Regions from separate parts of the Mus musculus genome. Here all the other regions are reported to be linked to region 2. Evidence: microRNA targets listed by miRTarBase, many of them from high-throughput screens and not tested one by one. Region 2 holds a microRNA gene; each other region holds the end of a gene's coding sequence.
Evidence for each region. Region 2 holds the annotated microRNA mmu-miR-124-3p (UAAGGCACGCGGUGAAUGCC, at 2,329-2,348, shown strand). A microRNA usually pairs through its seed, bases 2 to 8, with sites in the 3' UTR of a target mRNA and lowers its output. Matches are read on the target gene's strand: a 7mer-m8 pairs with bases 2 to 8, a 7mer-A1 pairs with bases 2 to 7 and ends in A, and an 8mer does both.

Region 1: miRTarBase lists Actc1 as a target of mmu-miR-124-3p. The part of its 3' UTR that is shown has no 7-base or 8-base seed match.
Region 3: miRTarBase lists Gpr21 as a target of mmu-miR-124-3p. The part of its 3' UTR that is shown has no 7-base or 8-base seed match.
Region 4: the mRNA of Tjp2 is a reported target of mmu-miR-124-3p. Seed matches in the 3' UTR shown: 7mer-m8 at 3,276-3,282.
Region 5: miRTarBase lists Pdpk1 as a target of mmu-miR-124-3p. Seed matches in the 3' UTR shown: 7mer-A1 at 1,226-1,232 and 8mer at 2,881-2,888.
Region 6: the mRNA of Plcg2 is a reported target of mmu-miR-124-3p. Seed matches in the 3' UTR shown: 7mer-m8 at 693-699.
Region 7: the mRNA of Rabl2 is a reported target of mmu-miR-124-3p. The part of its 3' UTR that is shown has no 7-base or 8-base seed match.

What each region holds. Positions count from the first base shown.
Region 1 is chr2:114,044,131-114,048,434 of GRCm38, forward strand. It overlaps Actc1 (actin, alpha, cardiac muscle 1), which reads right to left. Exons shown (of 7, transcript NM_009608.4): 6 at 3,993-4,174; 7 at 3,152-3,479. The coding sequence ends at 3,336. Among named protein-coding and RNA genes, the nearest start is that of Actc1, 6.6 kb to the right of the region's middle.
Region 2 is chr14:64,588,381-64,592,684 of GRCm38, forward strand. Mir124a-1 (microRNA 124a-1) reads left to right here and starts at 2,277; the gene lies at 2,277-2,361. Mir124a-1hg (Mir124-1 host gene (non-protein coding)) reads left to right here. Exons shown (of 4, transcript NR_040709.1): 2 at 397-587; 3 at 1,461-1,579; 4 at 1,893-4,304. Mir3078 (microRNA 3078) reads left to right here and starts at 2,805; the gene lies at 2,805-2,891.
Region 3 is chr2:37,517,799-37,522,102 of GRCm38, reverse strand. It overlaps Gpr21 (G protein-coupled receptor 21), which reads right to left. Exons shown (of 2, transcript NM_177383.4): 2 at 2,822-4,304. The coding sequence ends at 3,610. The region is part of intron 13 of Rabgap1 (RAB GTPase activating protein 1); the gene reads right to left. Among named protein-coding and RNA genes, the nearest start is that of Gpr21, 3.3 kb to the right of the region's middle.
Region 4 is chr19:24,091,752-24,096,055 of GRCm38, forward strand. Tjp2 (tight junction protein 2) reads right to left here. Exons shown (of 24, transcript NM_001376368.1): 24 at 2,745-3,839. The coding sequence ends at 3,674. Among named protein-coding and RNA genes, the nearest start is that of Gm41824, 13 kb to the left of the region's middle.
Region 5 is chr17:24,075,336-24,079,639 of GRCm38, reverse strand. It overlaps Pdpk1 (3-phosphoinositide dependent protein kinase 1), which reads left to right. Exons shown (of 14, transcript NM_011062.4): 13 at 1-148; 14 at 498-4,304. The coding sequence ends at 614. Among named protein-coding and RNA genes, the nearest start is that of Kctd5, 4.0 kb to the right of the region's middle.
Region 6 is chr8:117,634,388-117,638,691 of GRCm38, forward strand. Plcg2 (phospholipase C, gamma 2) reads left to right here. Exons shown (of 33, transcript NM_172285.2): 32 at 1-71; 33 at 398-755. The coding sequence ends at 440. Among named protein-coding and RNA genes, the nearest start is that of Sdr42e1, 37 kb to the right of the region's middle.
Region 7 is chr15:89,579,826-89,584,129 of GRCm38, reverse strand. It overlaps Rabl2 (RAB, member RAS oncogene family-like 2), which reads left to right. Exons shown (of 9, transcript NM_026817.3): 7 at 123-220; 8 at 448-531; 9 at 700-1,603. The coding sequence ends at 780. Among named protein-coding and RNA genes, the nearest start is that of Rabl2, 9.9 kb to the left of the region's middle.

The sequences.
Region 1 (4,304 bases), not on the chromosome of region 2:
ACACACAAAACTAAAAAATAGTATTTGGAGACAAGAAAAATATTAGCAATGTTTCTTTTCATTATAATATAAGAAAAATATAAATAATACAAAGTTTTGTACTTAGCATTTTAATGAAATGTTACTGTAAACATATCAGTCATTTTACCCACACGAAGGTGGCTTTTGTAAAACGTAATTAGTACCTTTCTTTAGCACAGTTTTTGAAAGATTCATCTGTCCTAGTATCTTACATCCAATTTTCAAGTATTAATAAGAAAACCAGACTGTAGTGTAAATCTGTGTGTTTACTGCTTTGGATACAAAGGTCAGACAATAATTCTCAAAGCTTCTACTTCTAAATAGAAATGATATACATCTTACATCCACTCATAAACAGAAATACCAAGAAATTAAATCCAAGTGAACTATGAGACCTTAAACTAGTAATACAATATCTAGATATGAAATTTATAATATGTATGCACCTGACCTGAGAGATGAAAAAGACCCGGAGAGTATCTGCATTGTACTCCATATGCATTGCCCAAATGTGTCTTCTTGTGAGATCCAGCTTTCAAAACAACCCATTTAGGGTACAAGATACTGCCAAGGGAAAAAGATCTAAAACAACGCTTATACCTTTTCTAAAGAAAAGGCCACTGAATCCGATTACTGTTTACTCATTATTTCAAACAAGACCTTCTTCTTGGCTTATTCTAAATATAGAACCCTGAGTTCCCTAAGCAAAGAAAACATGATTTGGTTCAACTTTCCTTTCTTGACCCTTCTACTGAACCTGGCCCAGAGTGAAGGATCAAGAGACACTTAAATTGATGGCCATAAAGACACAGTGGTGACCTGGAATGGTCAGGACAGCGGCAGCTTACTAAAGATGTCTGATGAGCCTGAAGTGCTCCCGATTTTGAACCCGACTTCCAGAAGGGCAGAGAATGATAGAATGGGGATACCCTTGATAAACTATGCCTAAAGTTAGAAAATATGCTTTGAGAAGGAAGCCCTGTTGCATTATTGGTCAGAACATCTGAATTCTGTCTTAAGTATTCCACAGACAAGCTGTGTGGTACTGTACCAGGTGCTTAATTTCTCCATCTTGATTCTCTCGATAGATGAAATTTAATTAAGCCCATCAAACACTCTGCAAGATTCAACAGTTCATGCACAAGACAATTTGAAAATGAAGAAATTTCAAGATTGTGCAATCAGGTTGAAACCTCCTTTTCCCAATTAGATTTCCTAAAATTCTCCAACTCCTGCCTGGCTGCTTTCTGTCTGGTCCTTCAGCTTCCTCCACACTCCCTCCTGCTGGGACTTCCTCCTTGATTATCCTACCTAATTATAATTCTTCCTTTTAAAAAGATACATTTATTTTGATTTTATGTACCTCGCTGTATTGTCTGCATGCATGTGTGAAGGTGCCAGATCCCCTGGACCTGGAGTTATATACAGCTGTGAGCTGCCATGTCAGTGCTGGGGATTGAACCTGGGTCCTCACACCTTTTACAGCTCTATTTTGAACATACTCATGCTCAGTGTTCCTAAATCTGTCCAGGAAAAGCCTTAGAACTTCTACTTATGATCCCCTTTCAGCTGGAAAAGGGTTTTTGATCCTAGGCATATAGCTTTGTAAAGTAGAAACAAAAATCATAGAGATAAATCATCAAGGAATTTATTTTCACATAGTTCTTTGGCATGCATCTAAATTTACCAGTTTTAAAAGGTGAAAGTAAGTTTGCATACTAATGAGGTAGTTGGACTTAATACATGAAGAATTAAATCATGGCTGAGCATTTGATATTGTAGGACACAGATTATCTTTAATATTTTCCCAAATTGATCTATGTTTTGATTTTTGTAATCACTAGTTCTGACACTTCCACTTTTCATAAATAAATAGTTCAAAATGGCAGAAGTACAGTGAGGGCCATTTTGGAAATTTCTGTAAATCCTGTTCTAGTCTCAGGCCAAATATTCTTCCTTTAATACCTTTTAATAATATAACTGAAATCAGCAGCTCAGGCAACAACTTTAAAAGTCAAAATTCTAACATAATACTGACTAACAATGTACTAACTTGATACTCACATGCTGAAAACAGTAAAAAAAAAAATACTAAATTGCGTTTGAAAATGAACAGGGAACTTTGTACACTACATGCAGAGAACACAGGAGCCTTGAATCTGAGCTGTTCCAGGCAGGGTTTGTTGCTGTCCCATGGTGTGACATAATGCTGCATGTGAAATACACGCATGTACTCAAAACCAGTGTTGCAGTGAAGTCATGTGATACAACACAGGCAATAACCATCGCAAACACCTTGTATTAATTTTACATTTGATTTGGAATTCAATTTTGGTCATAGTGAATTCATGAGCCATATAATGTTTTTTGTTTTGTTTTGTTTAAAAAAAAAAACTGATGGTTACCAGTATATATGCGGTATGACAAGTCAACACCTGGCAAGTCAACCTTCTCATTGCTTTCATTGGCTTCGAGTCACACTACAGGCTGGAGAGCTGTCTCAGTGGCTAATATCCTTAATATCCCTATAGATGAACCTGGTTTGATTCCTAGCACCTATATGGTGGCTCAAAACCATCCAGTTCTAGCAGATCGTATACCCTCTTCTTACTGTAGGCTCCAGGCATGCACATGATGTACAGATATACATACAGGCAAAACACTCATACACATAAAATAAGATAAGATAAAATAAAATAAAATAAGTGAAAAAAAAAACAGACAACTGGGAATACAATGAAAACACAGAGATAAGCTCATTTAATAGCCTTGACCCTCTTATTACCATCATGTGTATTTTCTATAAAGTTATAAAATATGTGATATGTGCTAAAGCAACTTTAGTACCAAACATGGCAACTGGTTGTAGATAATTGTGTTTTCTATCTTCATTCCTTACTTATACAGAACTAAACCTAACAACTAAACCACAGAACTAATCTTTGCTTATAAGATTCAAAAATATTCATAACTCCATCCCAAAAGATGTACCTCTGTAACTCCTAGCTCAATTCAACACCACATGAATTCATTGGGTAAACTTTGTGTTGCACTAATATTGTAATGCTCGGAGTATCAGAGTGAACACCTTCTCCATCCCAGGCCCACTCACACAAGAAAGAACACAGGCTTTTGTAGGTTGCAAGTCCTGGTCTGGTTTATTTATAAAGCAATAAATATTTGAAGCACAAACAAACTGCACTTGTGTAAACAAACTGTACAATGACTGATGAGAGATGGGGAGGGGGCTCAGAGGATTCCAAGAAGCACAATACGGTCATCCTGAATATAAGGTAGGCTAAGAGAGAGACATCTCAGAAGCACTTGCGGTGGACAATGGATGGGCCTGCCTCATCATACTCTTGCTTGCTGATCCACATTTGCTGGAAGGTGGACAGAGAGGCCAGGATGGAGCCCCCAATCCAGACAGAGTATTTACGCTCAGGGGGAGCAATAATCTGCAGAGAGAAAACAAAACCATCAGTGTGTTCTGAAGTCCCCAACAATGAAGTGGGCAACAGGCTTGGAATATTCACAGAAAAACCATCACAGATTAACCGATAGTAGACAACGTAGGAGATGCTATACAATAAGCAATGTAGCCAATCAGGCTTTGCAATCCTTCCTGTATTTCATCATTTCTCTGCTTATTTGTACTAAAGAATAATATTCATGAAGGATAGTTCAAACGCTGGGGACCTTTTAAATGTGTAGATAGGTTTAGTTATTGCTTCCCCCCCCCCCCACACACACACCGTGTTTCAGATATTTGCTTTTATTCACTATTTAGAAGCAGTCCTAAAGTTCCGTATCTGTGGAGAGTGCTAGAAAGAAATGAGGAATAGTGCTAACACTAAGTAGAAAAAGTCTAGAGGATAGGAAGCTAAGATGCAGGAGAAGGAGGCTGGGAAGGAAGCTTGCTTTAGGGTACCAAGTTCTGCCTTTGCCTCCCCCTTCCAAGTGTTCCTGACCTTGATCTTCATGGTGCTGGGAGCCAGTGCAGTGATTTCCTTTTGCATACGATCGGCAATACCAGGGTACATGGTGGTGCCTCCAGATAGGACATTGTTGGCATACAGGTCTTTGCGGATATCGATGTCACACTTCATGATGCTGTTGTAAGTAGTTTCATGAATGCCAGCAGATTCCATACCTAGGAAAAAGTTCTTTTTAAAGTATTTGCAGCACATTCAGGCTAGGATGGAGGGGGGAAAATGGAATTCCTCTGGGTTGGTGAGCTGCCAACATTCAAATCTAAAACATATGCTTCCCCTACAACACAC
Region 2 (4,304 bases):
CTTCGCCTCCTGCGCTAGCATCCTTCCCCCTCGACCGCGGCCACCAGCAGAGCGGTTTCTTCTGCACGCGTGCTCTGGTTCACCAGAGGAGGATTCTGGCTTTTTGCTTTTTTGTTTTGGTGGTTTGGTTCGGTTTGGGGTTTTTTTTTTTTTTTTTTTTTTTTTTTTTTTGGTTTTGTGTCTTAATTCTTTCAGGGTCATCGCCAGGATGCTTTTCCTCCGGCCAGGTGGAGCCAGCATCAGCGCCTGCCAGCAGCAATTCCCTTCAATAGCCGAGGAAGCACTTGGGGCTTGGCCAGGGAGGCCGCTCCTTGCTTGCGGGGCTGACTTTAGCCTCCACTACTCTCCCGCATCCATCTGCGTGTATATTATCCCCATCCCTTTTTATTCCAATAGATCCGCCTTTGGTTTGGACTGGCTGAAACGCGGCGGACTGCAACCAGGATCCTTTAAAGGAGAACAAAAAGATGAGGATATTGTGCGGGGGTTCCGGGACAAAGCGTCTTGGGACGCGCGGAACTCTGGCTCCCCGATTGGAGAGATCAACGCTGCCCAACAGTACCCGGCCGGACCTGCGGACCTCTGAGGTTATTCGGACTCAATTTTATTGATTTTTGTGGCATGCTTTAAAAGGGTCAGTGTTAGGTAAAGACTGTGTCCCCCAACCCTGTGGGGTGGGTGGGAAGCTGAACGGAACCGATCCAGTTAGATTTAACTTGTCCTCTATGCCCTCTACCTGGCTTTTTTGAGCCATTGGGAAGGAGAATGGGGAAGGCTTAGAAAAGAGAAAGGGGGGGGGGGGACGACTGCCTGAAAGGATAAGGCACTAGTAGGGAGTGGGATGGACCAGGTGAGGGAGGTCTGTGGGTTAGGAAGCACCTTCCTCACTCTGGTGCACTGGGTGGGTTTGTTCAGGGAATGGCAACGTGGGTGTCTGTTGAAAGCAGTCTTGTGAAATTGACATGTACATGCATAAGGTGACTGGACTTGTGTGTAAACAGAGTGATGGAGAGCAGAGAGGGAGGGGTCTTAAAATAATATTTTATTGTCCCTATGGATTTGGGGATCTCTCCCCCACCCCACCCAGCTACATTCTATAGGGGTGACCTTTTAAAATCTACACCCACCCTTTACCTCTGTAAAACCGGTTGACGGGTGGGGTGGGGGAACATGTAGGGGTGCGCGCTCTCTCTCTCTCTCTTTTCCCCCTCCCCCCTCCCAGTCTCCCTCCTCCCTCTGTCTCCCCCTCCCTCTCCCTTCACTCCTCCCTCTCTCGCTCTCCCTTCGCTCCCCCTCCTTCTCTGTCCCTCCCTGCTGCATTTTGCATGAGCTATCTAGGTCATTAGCATTTTAGCGTATGCAAGACTTGACAAGGCTGATGAGGGGCCAGATGGGCCTCGCTCTTATTTATTTATTTTTTTTTTCTTTTCCTTTTTCCCATCCACCACTTGGGACCTAAGCGAGAGGACCGCAGCAGGAGAGTTCCGGAAGGCTGATTCCCACAGATCCTGGTAAGGGACCGCAGCAGCTCTGCCCTGCGGCACGCCCGGCCAGGCTACACCCGGACCCTACACTCAAGGTAAAGGCGGCGGTCACAAGCCCTGCCCAGGCAGCAGTAGCTGGGCCCCTGCTTCCCATCCCTTTCCTCTCCGTCATCTCCCTCCTCCTGGCCCCCCTCAGTTTCCTAGGCGAAGCTGAGAGCGAACTGGGTGGGTAGGATTCGCTGCGGTGGGGCGAGGTGGGGTTGATGTTTTTTCATTGTCTGGAACTGCAGGGGAGGCGAAGCGCGAGGAGAGGAGTGAGGGAGTCGGGGTAATTAACACGGGGGAGGCACCCCTCCGTCTCCCACTTCCACCCACATCCCGAACCCTCCACCCCCCTCCCCTTTGCAGGAAAAAGCTTGGAAACGAAAGGATGCGGGAGAACAAAGAGCCTACGGAGGACGTGGCTGTTATCTCATTGTCTGTGACTGGGGGAGCTGCGGTAGGAAGGATGCGGTGGTCCTTAGCTCATCGCGTTCCCCAACCCCACACCCTCCCTGCTGTCAGTGCGCACGCACACGCACGCGTCGCCAGCTTTTTCTTTCTCATCTCTCATTTTTTTCATCTCATCTTCTCCCCATCCCCTCCCTTTCTTTCCACCTTTCCTTCCTTTCTTCCTCCCTTCCTTTCTCCCATCCTCCCTCTCTTCCATCCTTCCTTCCTTTCCATCCTTCCTTCTTTCTTTCCTTCCTTCCTTCTTTCTTTCCTTCCTTCCTTCTTCCTTCCTCAGGAGAAAGGCCTCTCTCTCCGTGTTCACAGCGGACCTTGATTTAAATGTCCATACAATTAAGGCACGCGGTGAATGCCAAGAATGGGGCTGTCTGAGCACCTTGGGTCCACGAGGGCCTGCCACGGAAGGATCGACCCAGCACAACGCCCTGGGCAGATCTCAGCGCTGCAGCTGCAGGCGCCCACAGTACGGGTAGCAGGCTTCTGAGTGCCTCGCAAAGTAGCCCTTAGGGTGGGGAGGTGTGCAGCTACCGACAGAGAGGGGTTTGTGCAGATGCAAATAGAATCTAGGAAGCAAACAACTCATTCTGTGACAGAAACACGGATCTATGCAAGCGGGGGGGTGGTGGTGGTGGTGGCGGCGGCGGCGGCGGCGGCAGAAAATAGCCTGGGGACGGCTGGAGAGTAAAATGTGCCCCTCAGCTCTGGGACCCTGCCCATTGTAGAAGGCCGACACCTTCATCCCTACCTGTCTTAGTTCCGGATTTCAATTTATTACCCTTAAACAAATAATAATAACCAAGTACCCATGCGACTGGCAGACTGCCCCAAAGCCTAGACTGCAGCTACCTTGTATTGTGCTTGGGGTTGCTGGGGTAGTCTTTAGGGGAAGCTGTTTGTCACCCGTTGGTGGAGAGCTGTGGGCATTTGACAAGCTTAAACAGATCTCTGGAGTGAGCGAAGGCGATCGGCAAATTTGTTCATGGACAGCGCACAGACTCCATCAAAACTGACAGCTAGCCCACTGCTCTAAAGCAGGGCCTCCCAGCCTCCTTGGGGCTGTGGCTGAAGTTTCAGGCAGAAATCCAGAAGCTACAGGAAAAGGAGGCGCAGCCCACCCCCAGCCCCCAGAGTGTGGGCCTCTCCCCATCGCTCTTAAAACCCCAAGACAGAAGGAAAATCAGCATGAGTAAGGTGGAGGCCTAAGGAAAGTCTGTTTTGAAGCAGGCTGTCCAGGAACAGAAAGGGTTAATCCTCCCTCATCCTGAAGCACCTGCTTCCCAAATCAGCCCCCAACAGCAGCAGCTGGTCCTGGAGGCCCCCGACACAGTTCCATCCCGTCTCCATCTCAGTGTTCCGCCAACCTGCAGTGGATGGATGATGGCCTGGTGGCCGACCTAAACTCATTAATTTTCAGGTGGAGTAAATGGAGGAGGGGCAGGACCCAGCAGCAGAGGGAGGGAAAGGAGGCCAAGAGCTGGCCTCCTCCCCCCCCCCACAACCCACCCCCAGGAAGCAGGCTGTAGCCCTCCCCCCTGCTGTCATGCCAGAGGCCTGCCTTTGCAAGGCCAAGCCCATGAAGGATGTTTAGGAGTTTAATCTGATTCCTAACACAGTAATCAGGGTCTAAAAGAGCATCCGTTGAAGTTAATGGAGGACTCTTGTCTCAAAAAGCCTCAGCCTCATCTAGTCTAGTAAATTAGTATTTGAGGGTATATCATAGATCAGTACCTCTCTGGCCTAGTTTCCTCAAGAGTATTCATTATTTCTTGAGTATCTACTATGTGTCCTTCTTTACGATGATTTCAACTTCTAAATTTCCTCACAGAAGAGAATGTTAGAGCTAGCCAGGCTGAGCTTCAATTTACCACATTCCACCTAGGCATTCCCAGAACCTTCTCCCGCTCTGCAGAAATAAGCCACCGCCTGCTTACTCTTGCAGGCAGAAAGCTGCAGTGCCCACACCCTGAGGGTGTCTCTGGCTGAGTCCTACCGGACAAGCCAGACTGCTTTCAAGGCAGAAAGGGAAAGACCCAGCCACAATGGCTGTCCTAAGAGACGCCATAGCCATTGCTTCGAGAAAATCTACCTCCCTTGAAATAAAAATTGGCCCTTTCCTGGGGTGCTCCCTCACTTCACAAATGGGTTAGAAGAGAACGGCTAGTGTGCTGTACCATTTTGGGGGTACACCCATTTGCCCCCCCCCCCCCGTGCTCATTGAGATGTTATTTTGCCTTCAAGCAATGGCCTAAGCAGATGATGGCCCAACCCCCCTGGACCACAAATATCCCCATTAGCAATCCTCTACTCAGT
Region 3 (4,304 bases), not on the chromosome of region 2:
TTTTTAAAGAAATGCCAGTGACTCACTTGCAGCCAGTCATAAGAAACAGTTACCTCAACAATATGTATCAACACTGTATATAATTTAGTATATTTACATTTGATTATTCTTTAGGCTGGCTGAGACAGGAAAATGATACAAAACTACATTATTCCATGACTTACAGGCTTCAAAAGCAAAACAAAACAAAACAAAACAAAAAACAAACTTACAATGCTACTATTTCCCCACATGAAATGTCTTCCAAACTGATCATTTAACAACAAACCCTGGTTTGCCAGTAACGTATTTCACAGATCTTCTTAATACAGAAGCACATGGCCAATGCAATTAAGATATTTCCTACAAAGTCACTGCACATTTTCCTAATGGATCTTTGAAAAGCCGAGGAAACCCTTCCCATATCATTCTACCATCTGAGCCTGTAGACCTGCTGTTACACTCAAAGAGATAGTTCATTTATGGTATGAAAGTTCAAGTTTCTCCAATCCTAAAAATATTACATAAACTATTTAAGTACAAAGGAAAAGCCACTATAAAAGACTCAAATAGAATTTATCCAGCAATACTGCTAAAAAGAAAACCTGTCCAAAACAGGACTTTGAGTATGAAGAAGCAAGCTTGTGAATAATTCTAGTACCCATTTGGGCTACTCAGTGCTCTGTCTTGAGGTGGGTACTGGCTCAAGTGCAACTACTTCCTCACTTCCAAGTGGCACAAATATTTTCACTGAAATCACTGTATAAAAACATAATTCTTTTACAAGTTAAACAATTAGTATGTTCTTACTTCAAACTTTACTACAAAGTAATTTTACACTATCTCTAAAAGCATATGTGTATTCTGACGCTAGTGAAATACCAGAGTTAAATGAGCTATCTGAGGTATAAAAGTATGCATTTTTTCTGACTCTGAACTAGTCAGATTGGTATTCAAACAAAATGTCATCAAATGTTGCCATAAATGTGGCAGAATAAAAAGATTAAACACCAACTGAGTCTATGATGCAGAGAATCTCCCCCTCCCCAAGATTATGTAACTATGCCCTTCATTTCTTCTTACCCAGCAAATTATAAATAAAATGGCCATGCAGACAATGAATGGAGCTATAGAATCGATTCCTTAAGCCTTAACATTTACACAGCACAATGGAGATGAGACAATCTGAAAAGACGTCTGTTAGTACCTCGGGTAATAGAAGGTCTATCTGGATGTTTTCCTTTACCTTACTTAGTTTCTTTAGTCTGTGCACCAAAAAGCAATATAAATTCTACCCTTTTAAAAAATGTCTTTAATAAAACCAGAAATTAATACTAGTAAAACTAAGCATCTGCTTTAAAAAAAAAAAAACTTATTTAAAAAGCTGTGTTTAGATTAACATATCAGCTTGGTTAGATATTACCAGAACAATTTTCTTTTTCACTGTTACAAAATGGAATCCCAGAACAAAAAACAAAAGGGACTTAACTCCTTCTAAGAGTGAAGTCAACTCTCTTATTACAGTTTTTTTAAAAAAATTTATTTATTTTATTTGAGTACACTGTAGCTGTGTTCAGACCTAGCAGAAGAGGGCATTGCATCCCATTAGCGATGGTTGTGAGCCACCATGTGGAAATGAAACCAAATCCAAACCAAATCTATAGAGCTGTGCAATGCAAGGAGAAATGTATTACAAACTGTTTTTCAGAAGCCAGGGGAAAAGATTTTCTCCTTGAAGCTGAAATCCAACAAAGCTATTTCTAACCCTGCATTTTCAGCATGAGCTCTAAATTCTGAATCATCAGAGCCAAACTTGGCTAATACTACATATAAAGAACAAGCAAGATTTGGAGAACTCAGAATCTATTTCTCTCTTCCTCTCAGCAGCTGACCTTGAACTCAAGAGACCCACCTGCCAATAGAACTTGGAATCTGAAGTTTAAATGGTTTTATAATTCTCAGTCACTTAAAAAACTTAAAGCAGAACACATATGAGGTTAAAATAAAATCAATGTCTAAAACATAAAATCAAAATTGGCTGGAAGTAGGGTAGGGTGGATCTTTAATCCCAGCAGAGACAGGTGGATTTTTGTGAGTTCAGTCCAGTCTGGTCTAGATAGTGAGTTTTAGGAAAATCAGAAAACACAGCAAACAGAACAAATAAATTCTGCTATGGATATACAAGTAAAATTTACTTGCCTTGTTTGCAAGGGTGCAATACCAGAATGGTGTGTGTGTGTAAGGAAAGAAACATGTCTTCTTTTTTAAAAGAACAGTCTTTTAACATCAGGGTGAAAAGCCGAGGCATATCTGCCTATTTTATAAAGTATCTGTGTCCTTTTTTGGGTTTCCTCCATTGTCCACTTCACTAAATATAACTGTTGTATGCACACTACAACCTCTAGCCAAAGGCAGAGGCCAATTAATTTTTCTGACAATAAAAATGACACTTTTAAAAAGTTAACTCTACATATAAACACAGAACATTTGAGTTCTAAACAATAAAATTCTATACATTTGTTAATGCTTTGAAAAAACAAAACCAGACAAGTGAGGCAAGAAATGTATCTCAAAGGATTTTTTTCCAAAAATAGGATAGCATGAAGGAGACTTGGCCCAACCAGAGTCCCCTTCTCCCCTTCCAGGAGGCCTCCTTAATAGGGTCCAAAAAATGTTTTCCAAAACTGTGATGCTAGCTGACTATTTAGAAGACAGACAGTTTACATTGACCCTGGGCTGATTGCGTCAGTGGACTCAGTTCTCATTGAAGACTTTGGATTAGAACAGAAAACACTACAGTCACTTTAAAAAACATATTTTCACATTACAATTGGACAGCTGTCCCTCTATTATTTATTTAGATTAAATACATTTTGTTATAAAAAATCCAACTCAGTGTACACATTCTCAATATTTACAGACAGAGGCCCAGAAAGAGCACTGTAATGTCATTACTGCACACATGCTCACGATGCTCAGAAGCATGTCGTGAAAGCAGCTGGCTCTCACACACTGTATGGCTTCACTGCACAGTTGCTTCATTTCAAAACTCTATAAAGTAATATTCCGTGCTCACATTACTCATCCTATGGAGATTGCTCTCAAAAGGCAAGAAAAGAAAATATTTCACTATCCAAATGAATGCTGAAACTTGCAGTACAGTTATATTTTGGCACAGATAAAGAAAATCCTTGCTAGTTCATCAATATATGTTAATATTTTCTGTTAGAAGATAACCAATTGCACATAAATTCCAACTTGCATTTAAGAATCCAGAAAGGGGCAAGAAAATGGTTATTTTTAACATGCTGATGCTTTTCACACCCAGATTCAGCCACGCCAGTGGGGAGAGGTGTCAACTATGGCTTTACTCCTTTTGAATCTGAGAACTGTAGTCACTTCCATGACATTTCAAAAACTGGATCAAGAGTGATTCTTTTTATGATCCTGATTCTTCTAATTTTAAATCTCATTTAGGAAGCAACTTCTGCAAACTATGAAGGTTATCTGGATAGTCTGTAGCTGCTCTTACTTCTCTAGTGAACTGGAAGCAGAGATGGAGAGAAAAAAAACTGAACCAAAGCCATCCTTTCTCCTTGAAAATAGAGCGACTGAATATATGAGCCCCCCTCAGATATGAGATCCATTAGGGGGTCCTTTGCACCTAACTGTGTAAGGGTCCTTGGCTGTGGTGTGACTTGCACAAGAAGTACACAGAGACCCTGAAAGGCCCTTTAGTCCTCGCTGGAAAACACTGTTGGAGAGACTGTAAATGATACAGTTGCAGAAACTGTTACTAATAGCAAGCCAGGTAGTCAGGAAGGATGCAAGGCGGCTGCTGCAGCCAGTAGAACTCTCCAGCAAGAAGTAGATGATGTATGGCAACCAGAGGACATAAAACACACTGGTGATTCTGAATAGGACCATGGCATAGCGCTTATCTGGACAGGTCTGGGGTTCCCCAGTCTCCCCATTCTGGCTGCTGAATCGGGCTTGCCTTTCGCTGATTTCTTTTGTGTGCTGCTGGCAGATGCGGAAGATGTTGAAATACGTGAAGCAGACAATGAGGGCAGCTGGGGCGTACAGCATCATCACGATGAACAATGTGAAGTAGGAGTTGGTGTGCCAGGACTCTGCACACCACTGAAATACATCTCCATGATATCCGGGTTTACCCCAGTGGAAGAAGGAAGGCAGGAAGACCAGGGTGGAATACAGCCAAATCAGAAAAATACAGAGGCGTAGTCTCCAGGGAGTAACCAGGGTATTATAGGTTAAAGGCTTAGTGATGGCAATATATCTATCAATGCTGATACAGGCCAGAG
Region 4 (4,304 bases), not on the chromosome of region 2:
CTCTTCTCCAGCCCATCTCCTTTCTTAAAATTGTGAGTTATATTTTTATTTATGTATATGGTATGTTTCTGTGTGAGTGAAGGCCACATGTATGAAGTATTCTAGCATGCTAGACTACTCTTGAAAATAGATAGATGGATGGGCATACATGAAGAGCCATGCGATTGCTAAAGGAGTTGATAAGTTTGACTGGGAAAATCAGAGACACTATGGTAGGCCAAGTATTAACTAGACCTAGAAGGGTAAATGGGGTTGTCCTCGTTTGAATTCCCAAAGGCAATCTGGAGAGGAAATGCTTTATTTCAGCCCACCTGTTCTACCCCTTCACTGCAGGAAGCCAGGGCAGGAGCTCGAGGCAGGAAACTAGAGACAGGAACTGAGGCAGTGGCCCCGAGGAGATCTGTGTCCTTTGTGCTTGCTAAGCCAGCTTGCTCATACAACCAGGAACCACCTGTGCAGGCATGGCACTGCCCACGCAGGCTGGACCCGCCCACAGCAGATTGGACCCGCCCACGGCAGGTTGGACCCGCCCATATGAATCATCAATCAAGATCTCATGCACAGGCCAGTCTGGTAGAGGCAATTCTTTTTTTTTTTTTTTTTTTTTTTTTTTTTTTTTTTTTTTTTTTTTTCTTTTTTGGTTTTTCGAGACAGGGTTTCTCTGTGTAGCCCTGGCTGTCCTGGAACTCACTTTGTAGACCAGGCTGGCCTCGAAATCAGAAATCCACCTGCCTCTGCCTCCCAAGTGCTGGGGTTAAAGGCGTGTGCGTGCTGGCTGAGGCAATTCTTTGAGGTTCTCTCTTCCCAAGTATGTCAAGTTGACAACTAAGATTAGCCATCACAGGGGCTTTTAGAACTGACAAAGAAGAGAGAAAAAATTTGCCAGAAGATAGGAAAACAAAAATCAGGAGTGTGCGGGGGCTCAAGCATTCTCATGCATCTGGAACATATACAGGTTTTGTAGGAGAGCTTAAATTCCTAAACTGTCACACAGCTGAGTTTTTCTAGGAAGCAACCTAGTAGTAAACACAAGCCTTAAAAGTCCACCACTTCACCTTGCTAATTCCAGTGCTGAGAATCTACCTGCTGGAGGGCTGACGTGATGGCTGGCACACAAAGCACAGCTTAGATAAAAGGAGCGCATCTAACATGATAGAGAAATAAACATAGTCAAACTGATCAATAGGTGAGCGTTCACTTATGAAGCAAGTGAACAAAATTAGTCTGTGGTGATGAGTCACGACGGGCCCGGAGCTCTTCACTGCGTGAAAGAACATTCTTGATAAAACGTGAATAGGGAACAGAAGCACAAACCCAGCACTGTAGTGGGCGGTTCTTATGCTAAGGTCCTGTTCCCCAATTGTTTCTTTCTTTTTTTTTTTTTTTTTTTTTAGATTTATTTATTTATTATATGTAAGTACACTGTAGCTGTCTTCAGACACTCCAGAAGAGGGAGTCAGATCTTACAGATGATTGTGAGCCACCATGTGGTTGCTGGGATTTGAACTCCGGACCTTCGGAAGAGCAGTCTTACCCACTGAGCCATCTCACCAACCCCCCAGTTGGTTCTTAATCTGTCTGTCTTAGTCAGGGTTTCTATTCCTGCACAAACATCATGACCAAGAAGCAAGCTGGGGAGGAAAGGGTTTATTCGGCTTACACTTCCATACTGCTGTTGATCACCAAAGTATGCAGGACTGGAACTCAAGCAGGTCAGGAAGCAAGAGCTGATGCAGAGGGCATGGAGGGATGTTCTTTACTGGCTTGCTTCCCCTGGCTTGCTCAGCCTGCTCTCTTATAGAACCAAGACTACCAGCCCAGAGATGGCACCATCCACAAGGGGCCTTTCCCCCTTGATCACTAATTGAGAAAATGCCTTACAGCTGGATTTCATGGAGGCGTTTCCTCAACTGAAGCTCCTTTCTCTGTGGTAACTCCAGCTGTGTCAAGTTGACACAAAACTAGCCAGTACACTGTCAGTAAAGAAAGCCATGGACCAATTGTTGAGTGGAAGGGACAGGCAGAACTTCCAGATCCTGGGAGGCAGGCAGAGAGACACAGGAAGGAGAAGGAGTTTTCCATGTTTTGGAGGGGAGAACTGGGCAACCATGTGAGATCTCAAAATGGAGTGGCCACACAGGCAGCTCCTCCAGGCGGGTGGTCAGGGATGTTTGGCAGGAGGGCAGGTGGGAGGAGAGACTGATGAGGGCATGCTTTTCCAGGCCAGTGACACCCAGCAATTAATTGTGTCTTAAGGCAGGTTGAAAAGGAGGAACAACTGTGTGTCTGTGTCTTTTATCTGATGATTCAAGGGAAGCTGCATGGTCATCTCCTGGAGCAAAGATGGATAGAACGTAAAACTACACACAACACAGTTTAGCCTCGGGGCTCTCCCACAGACACGCAATAGACACACAACAGACACTCATGAATAAGGGACTGGAGAAAGATCAGACCTGTGAAGGGGTTATTTTCTTCTTCTTCTTCCCATGTTTCCATTCCCTGTTGTGTAAGTTCTCACTTGTGTGACTACAGGAAGGAGGAACCAGATAACCGGCTCAGAGCTTTAGAAAACCTTTGGTTCTTCCAGAGGACCCAGGTTTGAGTCCTGGCACCCACATGGTAGAGCACAACCAATGTAACTCCAGTTTTGGGGGGAATCCGATGCCCTCTTTGACCTCTGCAGGCACTGGGCACACATGTGACACACACAGATGCATGCAGGAAAAACATTCATACACACATTTTTATGTCTTTTTAAAAATTTTTTTAATTAAAATAAATCAGGAAGAGTGGGGTGTAGTTCAGTGGTGAAGCAGCACTCTGAATGCATGAGGACCTTGGGTTCCCCCCACACTGCCCAGAAGGAAGGTGTGTAGAGACTCAGCACTAAACTCATTCTTGTACTCCTTTTTATTAAATTACAAAACCACCCGATGTCAGTACATACTCTGATAGAGAGGAAACAAAATACCCTTTTCTCAAGTCTCTGCCTTTGTGGAATATGTGGTTCCAGACAACGGACAAACACTCTAAAATCTTGGCCTCCGAGCTACGCAGAATTGATAGGCAGACACACTCCCGAGGGTCGCTGTCCTATGTACAGTCAGAATTTGTGGAAAATACTACAGACAATGCCCTGAAAAGGTGGCATGGTGCAGGGGCAGTCACAGCTGCTAAACTGGTATAAAAATTTAGTCAAAATAAAGTTTTAGTCCATTATGGGTTTGCATGAAGCGTCAGGGAGGGAGGCAAACGTGAGACACATTTTGTCAAAGGCACTTAGAGAGTCGTGATAAAATACTTCTGAACTTAGTCTGAGACGGAGTCCTTTTTTTTTTTTTTTTTTTAACTCCCTCTTCACATCTGCTTCACACTGAAGCTGTGCAGGAAGGCAGCCACGAGTGAGGAAAGATAGTTATTGCTCGATATACATATTAAAAAATACAGAGAGGTTAATACAGATCTTGGTCCACACCAAAGCAAGTAACAGTTATCAGACTGTTTCTCTTCATTCAAGAAAGTCAGAATCAACTTCACTCCAGTCCCACAAACAGAGCCTTCAGTTGATAACTCATGCCATCTGTTGCCTGGGTCCCCACCGTATCTCTGCAGTGCGTTTTAACTGGAGAAGATCTCCAGGTGGCCTCGCAGGAGTCCACGCATACAAGCTCTATAACTCCGTGTCTCGGTACCGGGAGGGCTGGCTGTAGTAACCACGCTTCGAGTGTGCTGCCAACTGCTGGCGGTACTCCTCCTCCTCGGGGTCACTGCCGTAGCTTCCTCTGGTGTCCTGGTAAAGTCTGGAAGGAGCTTTCTGGGGCTCTGGGGGTCTAGAACTAAAAAAAAAAAAAAGAGGCTATCAAACACAGCGAATATCATCTAGATGCCCACGGGGGTCACTGAAGCTATGAACCCAGCAGGGCTGATTGTTTCCTTGTTTCCTAACCCCTGAGCACATATGACCACCAGGAAGGGCACTGCTGGCCCCTCTTCTGGCTCACAGGGTGATAAGGGAAGAGATACGATATGGGTCAAGGCCATGGCCTATTTGGTCAGCTACCTGTTGTCTGAACTAACACAGGAAGATGTATTCTCCTAGGTGCTCCACTACAGGCCCCCCCCCCCCCAGCAAAGAGTTCTCTTCAGTGTCAATCACTTGTACCTCTGTCAGTGTCAGCTTGCCATTCAGAGCCATCTACGTGCCTCTTACTTTTTCAGTGCTTTAAACAAGAGTCCAGCTTCCTGAAGCAGGAAATCATAACTCAACTCCAGATCACCACAGAAAGACACTGATACTGCCT
Region 5 (4,304 bases), not on the chromosome of region 2:
ATTTGCAAGACGACGACAGTTATTACTCACAGAAGGGCCACATTTATATTATGTTGATCCTGTCAACAAGGTCTTGAAAGGTGAAATCCCATGGTCACAAGAACTCCGACCAGAAGCCAAGAATTTTAAAACTTTCTTTGTCCACACGGTGAGTCTATCCCTATAAGGCATCTTACTGTAGCCTCATCATAGGCTTCTGCATCTCTGTTGTAAGTGGCCCTTGCTTTGGCCAAGGAAGCATCTAGGGTCAGGTCAGCTTCCTGAGTCCTAGAGACAGACCTATATGAACAACTTAGGCCTGAATTGGGCCAGAGATAGATTTCTGCTTGATGTTGGTTTCTGGTAGGTCACCTGCCCACATATTTTAGTTCTGCACTTGTAGAATGAAGAAGCCCACTGTGCCCACAGGCTTCAAAAAGGTGCTGGCAGCATTGACAGCAAGATAGGCTGGGTGGGGACTGGACTCCCTGAGGGACATCAGATGCTCTGTTTTGCAGCCTAACAGGACGTACTACCTGATGGATCCAAGCGGGAATGCTCACAAGTGGTGCAGAAAGATCCAGGAGGTTTGGAGGCAGCAGTACCAGAGCAATCCAGATGCTGCTGTGCAGTGACGTGGCCTGCGGCCGGGCTGCCTATTGCTGCCAGGATACCTGCCCCAGCGCGGCTCGGCCGCCACCCAGGACGCTTCCAGACCACCTGCCAGCCATCTCGTGGAGAACATAGATGGCAGAAATCTTGCAGCTTTTTTATTTAAAAGAAAAGAAAAAAAAGAACCCAACCACACAAAGAACAAAACAAATAGCCAACAAACAGGAATTCAGGGTCGCTTTGCTTGCTCTCTGTGCTCTGTGGTGGCTTCCATGCACTGCTGTGGCCATGGAGACCCAGCTCCTTGCACGGTAGCCCAGCTTTTGCCCAGACCAGTGGCCAGATTTGGCATCACCCGCCCCTCTTAGCATCCACAGGAACTGCATGCCTGCCTCTACCTTTCCCCACCTGATACACACAGCTCCTGCTGTGACTGAGGGACGGGGTGTATCTGGCCTACCCTAGTTGTTGCAGAATCCTTCCCCAGGAGCCCCTTCACTCCTGCTGGGGTAGTCACCAGCTTACTGTGGGTACAGGGCTCTTAGCTTGTATGTGTTCTCCCTTCCTTGAATCTCTTGTATGGCCCTAGAACTTTGGTCAGGTGTGTTTATGGTGACATGATTTCTGTGGTTCCTGCCTTACAGCAGGCAGGTTGTATGGTGAGAAGAATGAAGGCTGTTGTAGTTACAGGTGCTCTTACTGGGCTCTGCTCTAGTGTTCCACTTCCTAGAAGTTTATCCAGTGAACTAGACACTAAGCCAAGCACATGTCCAGGAGGGTTGCTGTCGCACTAGCACCTAGGTAACACCAACTAGATTATTATCAGGTACAGAATCCTGTCCTGAACCTGGGCAAGGCTGGAGGTACTGTAGAGAATCCAGCTTGGGCCACTGCTTCCATGTAGAGAAGTGGGACAGCAGGCCCTCCTTGGAGTTTCTGCACAGGTTTAGGTGAGTAGACCACATGCCCTATGAGGCAAGCACCGAGCAAACCCTAGGGTGTGCCTCACCTGCGATGCTGTGGGCAAACACTTCTCAGCTGGTCCATTTTTACAACGATTGAAAATCTAGAAGCCTTCTCATGTTGCCTGGTCACCTACTCCATAAAGTGTGGGCCTTGCCTGGAAAGGATGTTATCACTGTCCTGCTCACAGGAACAGCCCTCTTAATCTGAGCCTGCCTATGCTGGCATTCTTTGCCAGTAATGGGACACTTCTTTTGGCATTTCTTGCAGAGTGCTTTTGAGGGACTTGGCTGTACCTCTCTTTGACTAGGATATCCCTGAAAGTTGGCCCTTGGTGTCTAGTGGAGAAAAGTAGGCATCTCCCATCTGCTCACAGTAGCACCTCAGACTCCTATGTCCCAATGGCAGCAACAATTTTGCCATTTCTATTGACTTTCACATAGGCGCCCCCAAACACACACAACAACAGAGGTTACCCTGTTCTGTCTACTCTACAGTGACTACCTGTGGGCCAGGCCATCTAAACTGAGAGGGGGAAAGATTCTACTTCAAATCTTTAACAACAAGAGTGATTCTGTTCAGCTGGGGTAGAGTGAGGATGAAAAGTCAGCCACCACTCTGTGGCAGGGTTGCTGGGTGGGAACAGGGATTTTATTTAGACTCAGCTAGATCGTGTGAGAAGAGCTTCAGGTGAGCAAGGAGCAGGACCTCACTTGCCAGTAGAACCCACAGAACAGGTATGGCCTAGGATGCTGTCAGCCTGAGAGTGAAAGTGGGCACTCATTTCTCCTGGTTTTTGAAGAGCCTGTTAAGTACACTTGGCTATTTCCTCCTTGGAGTCCTGTTCTTGCTCACGCCTTGTGGCTATTTTGCCCTCAGAGTGCCCTGTATCCTACATTTGTACATGTAAGTAAGAGTGGCTTCCTGTCTCTCAGGTGCATGCAGACACAGGGAAAGCATCTTTGAGGGCATTTAACTACAGGGGAGCAGTGGACTGAGGCTTGGCTTGAATTAGACCACAAAGCTGGCTGTATATGGGAGAGTCCTTTGTTGCTTCCTTCCCTGGAGAGCAACACTACCTCCTGGGCTTTACCAAGCACCACCCTAACCTCTAAAATCAGAGTTCAGCTGAGCTATTAGTAGTGGGTGGTCACCATGACTGCCCAAGCTACAACAGCTGATCTCTTCCCAGGTCACCTTTGTCCTTACTGCCCCCTTTTCCTTGATTTTTTTTTCCTTTAATGAACCATGTACATTCATTTCTTAACCTGGCTTAAATCACCTTCATTTTTCCAGTCATCCTTAGAGCCGTCACCCTGTGTGAAGGTGCCTTACTTTGTAGGACAGGATGTGGATGTCAGTTTGTACAACTCGTGTGTGTGTGTGTGTGTGTGTGTGTGTGTGTGTGTGTGTGTGTGTGTGTGTGTGTGAAACAGTAAATTTGGGATGTATGTAAGGAGAGAGAGAAATACCCTGTTAGTACCTCTAGAAATCATGTGTCCTAGGAATGGCAAGGATGGAAAGAAAGTTGAAGACTGTTCTCTGGCTTCTCCTACCTAGGTACAGCAGACTGTAGTACCTCACAGCCCACTTGAGCCCTGGCTTCTCTCAGCATCACAGATGAAACTTAGCTTGAATGGGTCAATTCCACCTGTTTTTCTGTGCTCCAGCTGGGCAGTGGGCTCCCCATGTAGAGCTGAGCCTCTCCACTTCAGGGTGTGGCATCATGGCTCAGATGTCATTTTGAGCTAAAACCCAGTTAGATGCAGTAAAAAACCACTTTGAGAGATGGCTTGTGTTAGGCTGAAACTGATAGAAACGTTAACTGCTGCAGCTCTCTTTGGGCCACCCTAGTGTTTGTGATTCATGCTTGAAGTAACCTTGCCGACAGTTGTGTGGCACAGACTCCCAGTACCAGCAAGGGGGCCGTAGGTAATTGTGTGCTTTCTTAAAGAAGTGTATGTTTTCTGAAAGCAAAAGAATAAAGGAAGGCCCGTCATTCAGAGACCACTGTGAACATTTGGATGTAGATGCTGTTCTCCCTAACTCTTTGTTCCAGTGCTGGGAATTGAATAGTGAGGTTCAGGATTGCTAAGCGAGTGCTCTACCACTGATGTGCATCCTTAGTCCTTGTTTGCTTTCTAAACCAAACTGGGAACACATACAACATTCATCATTTTACATCCAGCTTTTTCACTTGACTTGTTTTCTCTTAAGCATTTCTCCATGCCGTGGCCGTGAGTAGTTCTTCAAAAGCATGTTTTTGATAATTGTGGAGTCAAGTGGTTGTAAATTTATAAGTTATGCAGTTGTTTCCCTGTTGTAAAACATTCAGATGGTTTTTGGTTTCCTTTGTGTTTTGTTTTTGTTTTTGCTATTTAAATAATGCTGTGGTGAATATACTTCTAAGTCTTTGATTTTTTATTCTGATTTTGCCCCTTCCTCACACACCTGAAGTGGTATTTTGGGTATTTTTTCCTCCTCCTCGGTCTGATGTTTAGACCCTCTGAGTTCCAGTTACAAACCTACCTTCCTTGTGTCCTACGGACTTTGAACACATCAGTTCTTGCTAAGTTGTGTGTTCTCAAGAAAGTTTGACTATGGCTGCTTTTGTTTTTAATGCTAAAAATGTCATTACTGCAGATTCCTTTGTGACAGATTTTTTTTCCAAAAGCCAGTCTTTTCATTTGCATTGCAAGAATCTGCTCCTGCATGTTACTTCTTTTCCATCTTTGCTCTAAGGCTTCCAA
Region 6 (4,304 bases), not on the chromosome of region 2:
GATGCCCTGGTGAAGGAGTTCAATGTTAACGAGAATCAGCTGCAGCTGTACCAGGAGAAGTGCAACCGGAGGTAGGTGTACCCATAACCCCTCCAACCCCTCCACGTCCCCTCCAATCCCCTAAAGTCTTGGAGCTTCTAGGAGCGACCTAGAGGCTTCCTAACACCTTAAGCAAATGAACTAACCTTCAAAGAACACTGCCTAAGCTCCGCCCACCAGGTGTGTTCTCATTGGATCCTTAAAGAGCCGCCATTGCCAAGGACCAAGGGGGAAGTGGACATTCCCCAAGGCTCAGGGGGTATGCTAGGAGCCCAGAGCCTCCTCCACTCAGCCACAGGTGACCTGCGAGGTAGGGTGGGAGTTACCCACTGATGGGACTCAATCTCCTGTATTTCAGGCTGAGAGAGAAGAGAGTAAGCAACAGCAGGTTCTACTCCTAGAAGCCGTGTGTGCGTGCGCGCATGCGCACGGTGTTCACGAGCGCATCTGGGTACGGGAGAGCCTTATAAACAGCCCCCAGGAAGAGATTCATCTGTGACATTCATCGTCCTCTCTCCGAGCCACTCACCATAGAGATGACAGTTCTGAAGACGCCCCCGTGGGCAGGAGGCGTTGAGACCTTCCTGCTATTTTTCCACCTTGGACAACTTTCTTAACTTATACTACCCCTGATAGAGGATCCCCCCAACTGTGTGCCTTTTGAACTTCCCTGTTCTCAGCCTCATTGAATAAAGACAACAGTTTCATGCCGTTAAGCGTTCTGTACCTGATCTGTACAGTAAACAGGAGTTCCTCTGTGGTGAGCAAGCTTCTACCTGTGTGACCCAGGTAACTGACTTCCCCGGAAGGTGAGCTGAGACACGGGGAACTAATTCATTAGATTCCAAAAAAAAAGATTTCAGCTAAGAGGCAAATGATTCTATAGTTCAGGCCACCACTGTATTCTACACAACCCCAAAGGCTGGTCAGGAGCTGACCTCAATGTGTGTTAGCTACCACTGGCAAAGCAGTTGTCTAGACAAAGCTACATGGAATCTGCAGAAATGGGAGATAGAGTCTGCCCTTAAGACATTTTTTCTTTGACTCATGGCTAGTGATATTGGAGTGCTGGGGTGCTAGCTTATTGCATGTCCTTGTTGTATCTGCCCCGACTCATCACATCCAGGGTCCTCTTGAGTCTGGTAGGAGGCTGCTGCCAAGATCCTCTGGGGCCACAGCCAATAGCATCATTGCTGGTCAAAGAGGCAGCTGAAAGGTAGGTTTACAGGCAAATTTCCCTGGGTTATCGAACATTCGGGTGCATCAAGTTAAGCTCTGATGGAATTGATGTTAGAGTGTTTCAGAAATCCTGTGGCTACTCCAGACCCTTGTGCTACCACTGAGCTAAGTCTCCAGCTTTATAAAACTCTTAAAGGAGAAGACAGACAAATAGTAAACTCAGGGCTTCTTAGTGAATGGAGAATTGCCTTGGGAAAGCAGGTGTAGCTATGAACAGCTGAGATCTGACTGTGGGTGGGGGAGGAGCCAACAGTGAGCTGCTTTGTAACAGAGTGGAACCTGGGGTCAGGAACCCTCTGGGGTCTCTCCCCTCTGGGTGAGATCCAAAATGGTGGCCTTAATGTATGTGTTGCTGGAGAAAAGATTAAAAACTAGCTCTCTCTCTCCTGTCCCGCCATTTTCCAAGTCCCCTGAGCACAGCTCCATCATAGACCAACCTCCAAGATAGCGTCTTCTGTCCTTGGAAGAAAGCATTTGTTACTGGGTCCAGGGGCTACATCCACCATGAACCCAGAGGAGGATTGCTAGCTTGTAACTCCTCTGATTCCCAACTTGGTATTTCCTCTGGTAATTGACAAGGAAGGAAAGGAATCCTGCCAAGTGGGTGACTTGGGTAAAAGGCTGTGTGAAGCCTGCATGGAAGGACATGTCAGGCTCTGTAGCAGCTTCCCACTGGCTGGGACCAGGTAATGTATTGTGTCGTCACCTGTGCACGGCAGAACTTGGACTGCTGCCATCCTCCCACCCATCATCCCTCCACCTTGCTCTGTTTTAAAGTCCAATTGCTAAGGCTGGCGTCTTCATTGCTTAAAATGGGTATCTTCGCTACTGTATCAAAGAAAGTGAGAGATGGCGGGTAGGAGGCAGCAGGAAGCATCTCTTTTACAGTGAGGTGTACCCTGCAGGACAGCTGTACCAGTGAGCTGGGAAGAACGGTCTCTTCCTGCTCCATCACTAGGGGGCACTGGTGAGGTTCTTTTGTCCTGAGCTTGATAGGGTCATGCACTGATTTGTTTCTTGGTGGTTGACGTCAAGGTCCGAGTCAGTTCCTTTACAGAAGGATCCCTTGAGCCTGTCCTGATGCCATGTGTCCTTGTCTAGACACCGTGAATGATAGTAGCAGCACTGGTGACAACAACCATGGATGGTGTCCTGGTGAGAGGACAGAATTAGCCAGAGCCAGGTTGACCCCATGGCAGGCTCCAAACTGGCAGTTGGGGGAGATTAGGCTTTCTTTTCTGTTTCCCGTAATTGAAAAAGTCCAAAACAAGTCAATTCCAGGGAAAACTACCCCTCATGGGCAGCCAATCGGGAGCTGTAGATGCTGCCCCACCACTTAGCTTGAGCCAAGTATAGTTAACCAGCAAAAGTCCCGAAAATCCCCCAGAGCCTTAACCAATCACAAGGGCATCCATACCCCTGGAGACAGAGCCAACCAACCAAGGGAAAGAAAGGTAAAAGCCACCCACTCCTACCCTAACAGGCTTTAAATTGACCCTGCAAAAGCCACACCTCTATCTTCCATTCTGATGCATGGTGGACCCTTGCATGCAGGTTCTCTGAAGAATAAACGCTTTTAGCGGTTGCATACTATTTTGCATCTGGGGTATCATTCTTCATGAATCACAGAGACCCTTACAATGTCACACTGGTTTGCCCACCATCCTTTGTGTATTATTTGGGACATTGGTTACATGAGAAAGTACAAAGCCAGGTGGCAAAGGTCACCGGGCACGAGAAACTTCAGTAAACAAAGTTGCACAGTTTGTGTGCTGCAACGTGTAGGTATGTGGTAATTAAACAGGGTGTAGAGGCCTGCATTTCCTAAGGTGACCCTGGGATCCTCTAGCCTAGCATGATGTGTGCATCCAGTCTACTGTAGAAAATGTTTGAGGGCAATTAAAAAAATCCTTTTAAAAGATTTTATTTTTAGGTGTGTGCATATGTGTGTCTGTGGGTTAGTGTGTGCACATGGGTGCAGTACCCACAAAGGACAGCAGAGGGCGTTGGATTCCCTGGAGCTGGAGTTAGAGGTGGTTGTAAACCATACAACGTGGATACAAGAGTCCAAACCCAGGTCCTCTGTAAGACCAGCTAGTCTTGACTTCCCCGGTCTCTCCAGCTCCACCCCAACACATTCTGCTCTTTTTTTTTTTTTTTTTTTTTTTAAACAAAGCTGCATAACAAAACCTAGTCATTTATATGTTTCCAGACCAACTTACAACCTAAATAAAAGTCACCATGGCCAGGGATCTTAAAGCCACTGACCAGGTATTGCCTACAGACTCTTATCTTCCTGTTGTGCCCTTCCTTTTCTGAGACTCACCTAAGCAGCCGATGCATTGTCACCTTCGAAAAGCTCGGATAACAGAACAAAAGCCCTTCCACACCCAGACCCCAAAATGGTGGCTCCTGGCCTTTGCTTTTGTGAATGGGCTGAACATCTGGTGGATTTTTTACTTTTTATTTTTATTTATTTTATTATGGTTTTCCGAGACAGGGTCCCCCTGTGTAGCTTTGGCTGTCCTGGAACTCATTTTGTAGACCAGGCTGGCCTCAAACTCAGAAATCCGCCTGCCTCTGCCTCCCAAATGCTGGGATTAAAGGTGTGCGCCACCATACCTGGTGGATTTTTTTACTTTTAACACTGAGAATTTTAAAACAAAGTTACACAGATGTTCTAACATGTGCCCATGAAGAAGAGCCCTGCTATGCTGCTATCCTGAAGTGTCTCAGCTGTCTCCTGACCTGTGTGAGCAGGGCTCACTGGCACCCCTCCCCACAAGAAATGTAAAAGGGAGACCATGGCGACTGTGCCTTGGCTCCTTCCTAGGACGGCAGTGCTGACCCGAAGCCAGGGGCTATGAGTCACTCAGAGGAGGCACCATTGTCTCATGCTTCCGAAGTATCTTTTTACTGTGTTTAATGATTCATGTGTTACCACTTGTATCTTGTGTTTTTTTATTGATCAAGCGCAATTAAAAGAATTTAAAGCCTTAGAGCCTCCCGATCAGTAGATAGATAAT
Region 7 (4,304 bases), not on the chromosome of region 2:
AGACACAGACCCATATTACCCATGTCAAGGGCAGTCCCTGACAGTCCCTTCCCCTCTCACCCTGCCTCCAAACTCTTCCCATTGCCTGGGTGGACAAGCCAATGCCCCACTTCTCTCTGCAGCAGACATACAGATGACTCAAAAGAATTTCAGTTTTGCCAAGAAGTTCTCCCTGCCCCTGTACTTTGTCTCGGCTGCTGATGGTACCAATGTTGTGAAGGTAATGGCAGCCCTGAGGCAGTCTGCTGACACCTGACTTAGGAGTCACCGGGAGGAGAGGAGGGTAGGGAGGCAAGGACAGGGCGTGGCTGGGTGCAGCAGAGGAGTCCACTGCCTGTGGGACGGGGTGACGAGAGGGGCCGGTGAGGGGTGAGACTGCTGGTTATAAAGCTGGGGTCCAGGGTCCTCCCCACAGCTACACTTCCGCCATTTCCGCCTCGCCCTCAGCTCTTCAATGATGCTATTCGATTAGCTGTGGCTTACAAAGAGAGTTCCCAGGACTTCATGGACGAGGTTTTACAGGAGCTCGAGGTAAGCCGGGCCCCATTTCAGGTATGGTAGAAAAGGGCGATGATTTCTTCAGAGATGTGCAGTACAACCTAGCACATGGGGTTTCGCCTGCCTTTGCAACCCCTCGCTGCCTCAGGACTATAACTGGATAGATGCAGGGTCAGGCTTCACCTATGACCTTGTTCACAGAACTTCAAGTTGGAGCAGAAAGAAGAGGATACGTCAGGCCAAGAGCAGAGTGACACGACCAAGAGCCCATCTCCTTCCTAACCTGAGGACATCCACACATGGCAGAGTTGGGGTATTGGGAGCCATTTGGAACACCCTACATCTCTGGAGAACATCTCTAGGCTACCCCTGCTCAACTTCCTGCAAACCCACTGTTCTGTGGTACATGATGAGGTCAATACAAAGAAACTAGACAGGCGTGATACCCACCATCTTCCTGCATCAGGATGAGGGATCCGTGTCATTCACACACACACCCCGACCCCCACCCCCACCCCAGCAGCCTGATAGTGCAGAAACAGTGAACATGCTCATGTCTTCTTAGTAGACATTTAGGTGTTTGTTGTCTTTCTTCCCAAACTGACCTCAGGGACTGTCCCTTCACTTCTGCCGAGAGAATGATGCAAACCCTTGAGGACGATGTGTTCCTATGGAATCCATCTGTGACACCTCTGTCCCTGTCAACAATATTTTTGACAGACAACCATTAATTCCAAATTTGCTTTTCTAGCACCAACTGTTTTGGGAGCTCTTCTCGGTCAGTTGAGAGCACAGCAGCAGGACTCGATTGCAGTGCAGTGAAGACAAGTGTAGCCATATCTGCTTATACACACACCTTACTGTTCCCCACCACGTGAACAAAAACTGCCTCCATCTCAGGGTAGAAAGCCTTCCTCCACCTCTCTAGGGCGAGTTAAGCACTGCGTCTTCTGTGGGTGGCAGCAGACAGCAGGGAAGAGCTGCCCTGCTTCTCTGCAGCTTGCTAGATGATGTCACGATTGTCTTGAGCATCATTTGCATTATCATTATTTTGTTTATATTGTCTCCTTTTTTTACAATAAAGATAAAGTTTCGTAAACACTAAGGGTCTCAGTTACCTTTCTATTGCCATAGCAAAACGCCATGGCCAAGGCAACTTACAGAAGAAAGCGTTTAATGGGGCTCACAGTTTCAGAGGGCGAGTCTGGGACCATCACCCTGGGGAGCATGGCAGCAGGCAGGAAAGCATGGAGCTGGAGCAGTGGCTAGGGTGTCACACGTGGTCCTCAGAGCCCATCCCCAGTGACCTCCAGTGACCCCCAGCCAAGCTACTCCCCCTAATCCTTCCTCAATAGTTCCACCAGGTCAAGCACTCAAACTTGAACTAACAGGAGCCATTTTCATTCAAGCCACCACACTGAGTGTCTGTGCTCTGTAGTCTGAAGTAGACAAAAACACAAGCCACACAGATGAAGGAAGACTGCCTTGATCTGCTACCATGTTGTAGTCCAAATTAGCTCTTGGTTGACTATAGAGAGCATTTCAGTAGAATTTATTGTTTGTGGGTTTTTTTTTAATTAAGTATAGATTTGAGATCTCAGAAACAAGTGTTTCACCTTTAAGTAGGTGATGCTTGCATGTTCAACTTTGACTTCTCATCAGGGATTCTCCGAAATGCATTATGCAGATGAGATAAGATTTTTAGAAGAAAAATAAAAACATGTTACCCAGCATAGTGGAGCATACTGTTAAATCCCAGCAGTCGGGAGGCAGAGGCAGGTAGACCTCGGAGTTCAAGTCCAGTCTGGTCTACAGAGTGAATTCCAGGCTATCCATAGCTATAAAGTGAGACTCTTCCTAAAAAGAAAAGCAATAGTTATGGTAAATGATTAATAATCTGGGAGTGTGTGTGCATGCCTGCATGCATGTGTGTGTGCATGCCTGCATGCATGTGTATGTTGCAATTTTGAGCACTGGACCCAGGACCTCAAGAGCTAGCTAAATAAGTGTCCTACCTTGGAACTACTCTCTGGCCAGTGGGTATTTTTCTTTATGTAAATAACTGTAGTGAGATAGATTTCACGTACTCAAAAATGTACCATTATTGGCTTTCCCATAGCTGTTCTGTATTAGGTTTCCTTGAGACAGCCTAAAGACATCTTTTTAGATGGCCTGCTGGGGCTGCTTTCTCAGCTGAGTGAGGGGAACAGAGTGAGGTGAGAAACTGAGCAAGATCTTATCTCAGCTGCAGGCCAGCATTACAACTACCACCTCACACACCCCCGAGATGCATGGAAGGACAAACTGTGGAAGATTTGGTCCTGCCTGAAGACCAGGGGACTGTCAGCCAGTGCACACATGAGGCACAGGAGATCATCTGTATCCTCCAGGCAAAGCGGCTCCTACTTTAGCTCAGACACTTCTCTGGGGAAACTGCATTTCTCCATCAGCACTGGTGCTGGAGCCAGAATGCTCATAGATAACGACTGCACAACAGATGTCATTAAGCCACGCCTTTTATAAGTTTTAGGGTGTCCATTTATGATTTAACCAGTTTTTGAAGGGACTAAATTAGACTAAATAGGGATGCAATGTCTGAGGTGAGATGCACACGATTAACCTTCCGGTACATTCCATACAGTCACAGTGTGGGACACCTGCCAACTCTGTGTGGTTCCATCACTCCAAAGTGAAGTCTGTATTGGTGGTGTCTGTGTTCTCTCTCTGAGGATTTATTCTGAATATTTCATATAAGTGAAATCATACAATATGTGACTTTTTGTGTCTAACTTTCTTCCACCTTCAAGATTCATCCAGAGCAGGGCACAGTGGTGCATGCCTTTAATCCCAGCACCCAGGCAGAGGCCAGCCTAGACTACATAATGAGTCCCAAGACAGTAGGACTATGAAGAGAGACCCTGTCTTGGAGAGAGACAGAGAGAAGAGAGTCAGAGAGAGACTGATTTTCATCCATGCATCGTGTACTTTGTTTCTTTCATAATTAGACTGTGTTCTATCATGTATATATTCAACAATTTGTTTATTCATTCACCGATAAATATTTGACCTGTTTGCAACTTTTTTAATCTATTGAGAGTACCATGGAGCCAGCTGTGGAGGCACTCAAGGGTCAGAGCAAGCAAATCACTGAAAGATCAGGGTCGGTCTGGACCAGATACTCAGTCAGTCCCAGGATAGCTATGGTTACACAGTGACCCCCTGACTCAAAACTTTTAAGGACAAGAAAAAAATTGCAAATTTTAGCACAAGTAGATTGGTATAATCTTAGGAATTTTAATACCTTTATCATCAAACATCTATCACCCTCAAGTCCCATTCTCCACGAACCTTATACAATATATTCAAACCTTCTGTGATGTGGCTTTAACTTGGTTCTGTTCTTCCTGTTGTTTGAATGAAAATAGCCACCGTACACTCATACGTTTGAAAGCATGGTTCCCAGTTGGTAGAACCACTTGGGAAGGGTTGGGAGGTGTGGCCTCATTGGAGGAGGTGTATCACTGGAGGTGGGTTTTAAGATTTTAAAAGCCCAGTTACCCTTCTCTCTGTGGGCCTCCTACTTGCCAAAAAGTATATAAGCTCTCATTTACTAACCCAACACCGTGCCTGCCTGCCTGCTGCCATGCTCCCCACTATGATGGTCATGAACTCACTACCTTGGTTCCTGTTGCTGTGATGAAGCACCATGACCAAAGGAACTTGGGGAGGAGAGGGTTGATTAGGCTTAGGCTCGCATATCACAGTTCATCATCAAAGGAAGTCGGAACAGGAAGTCAAGAAGGGCA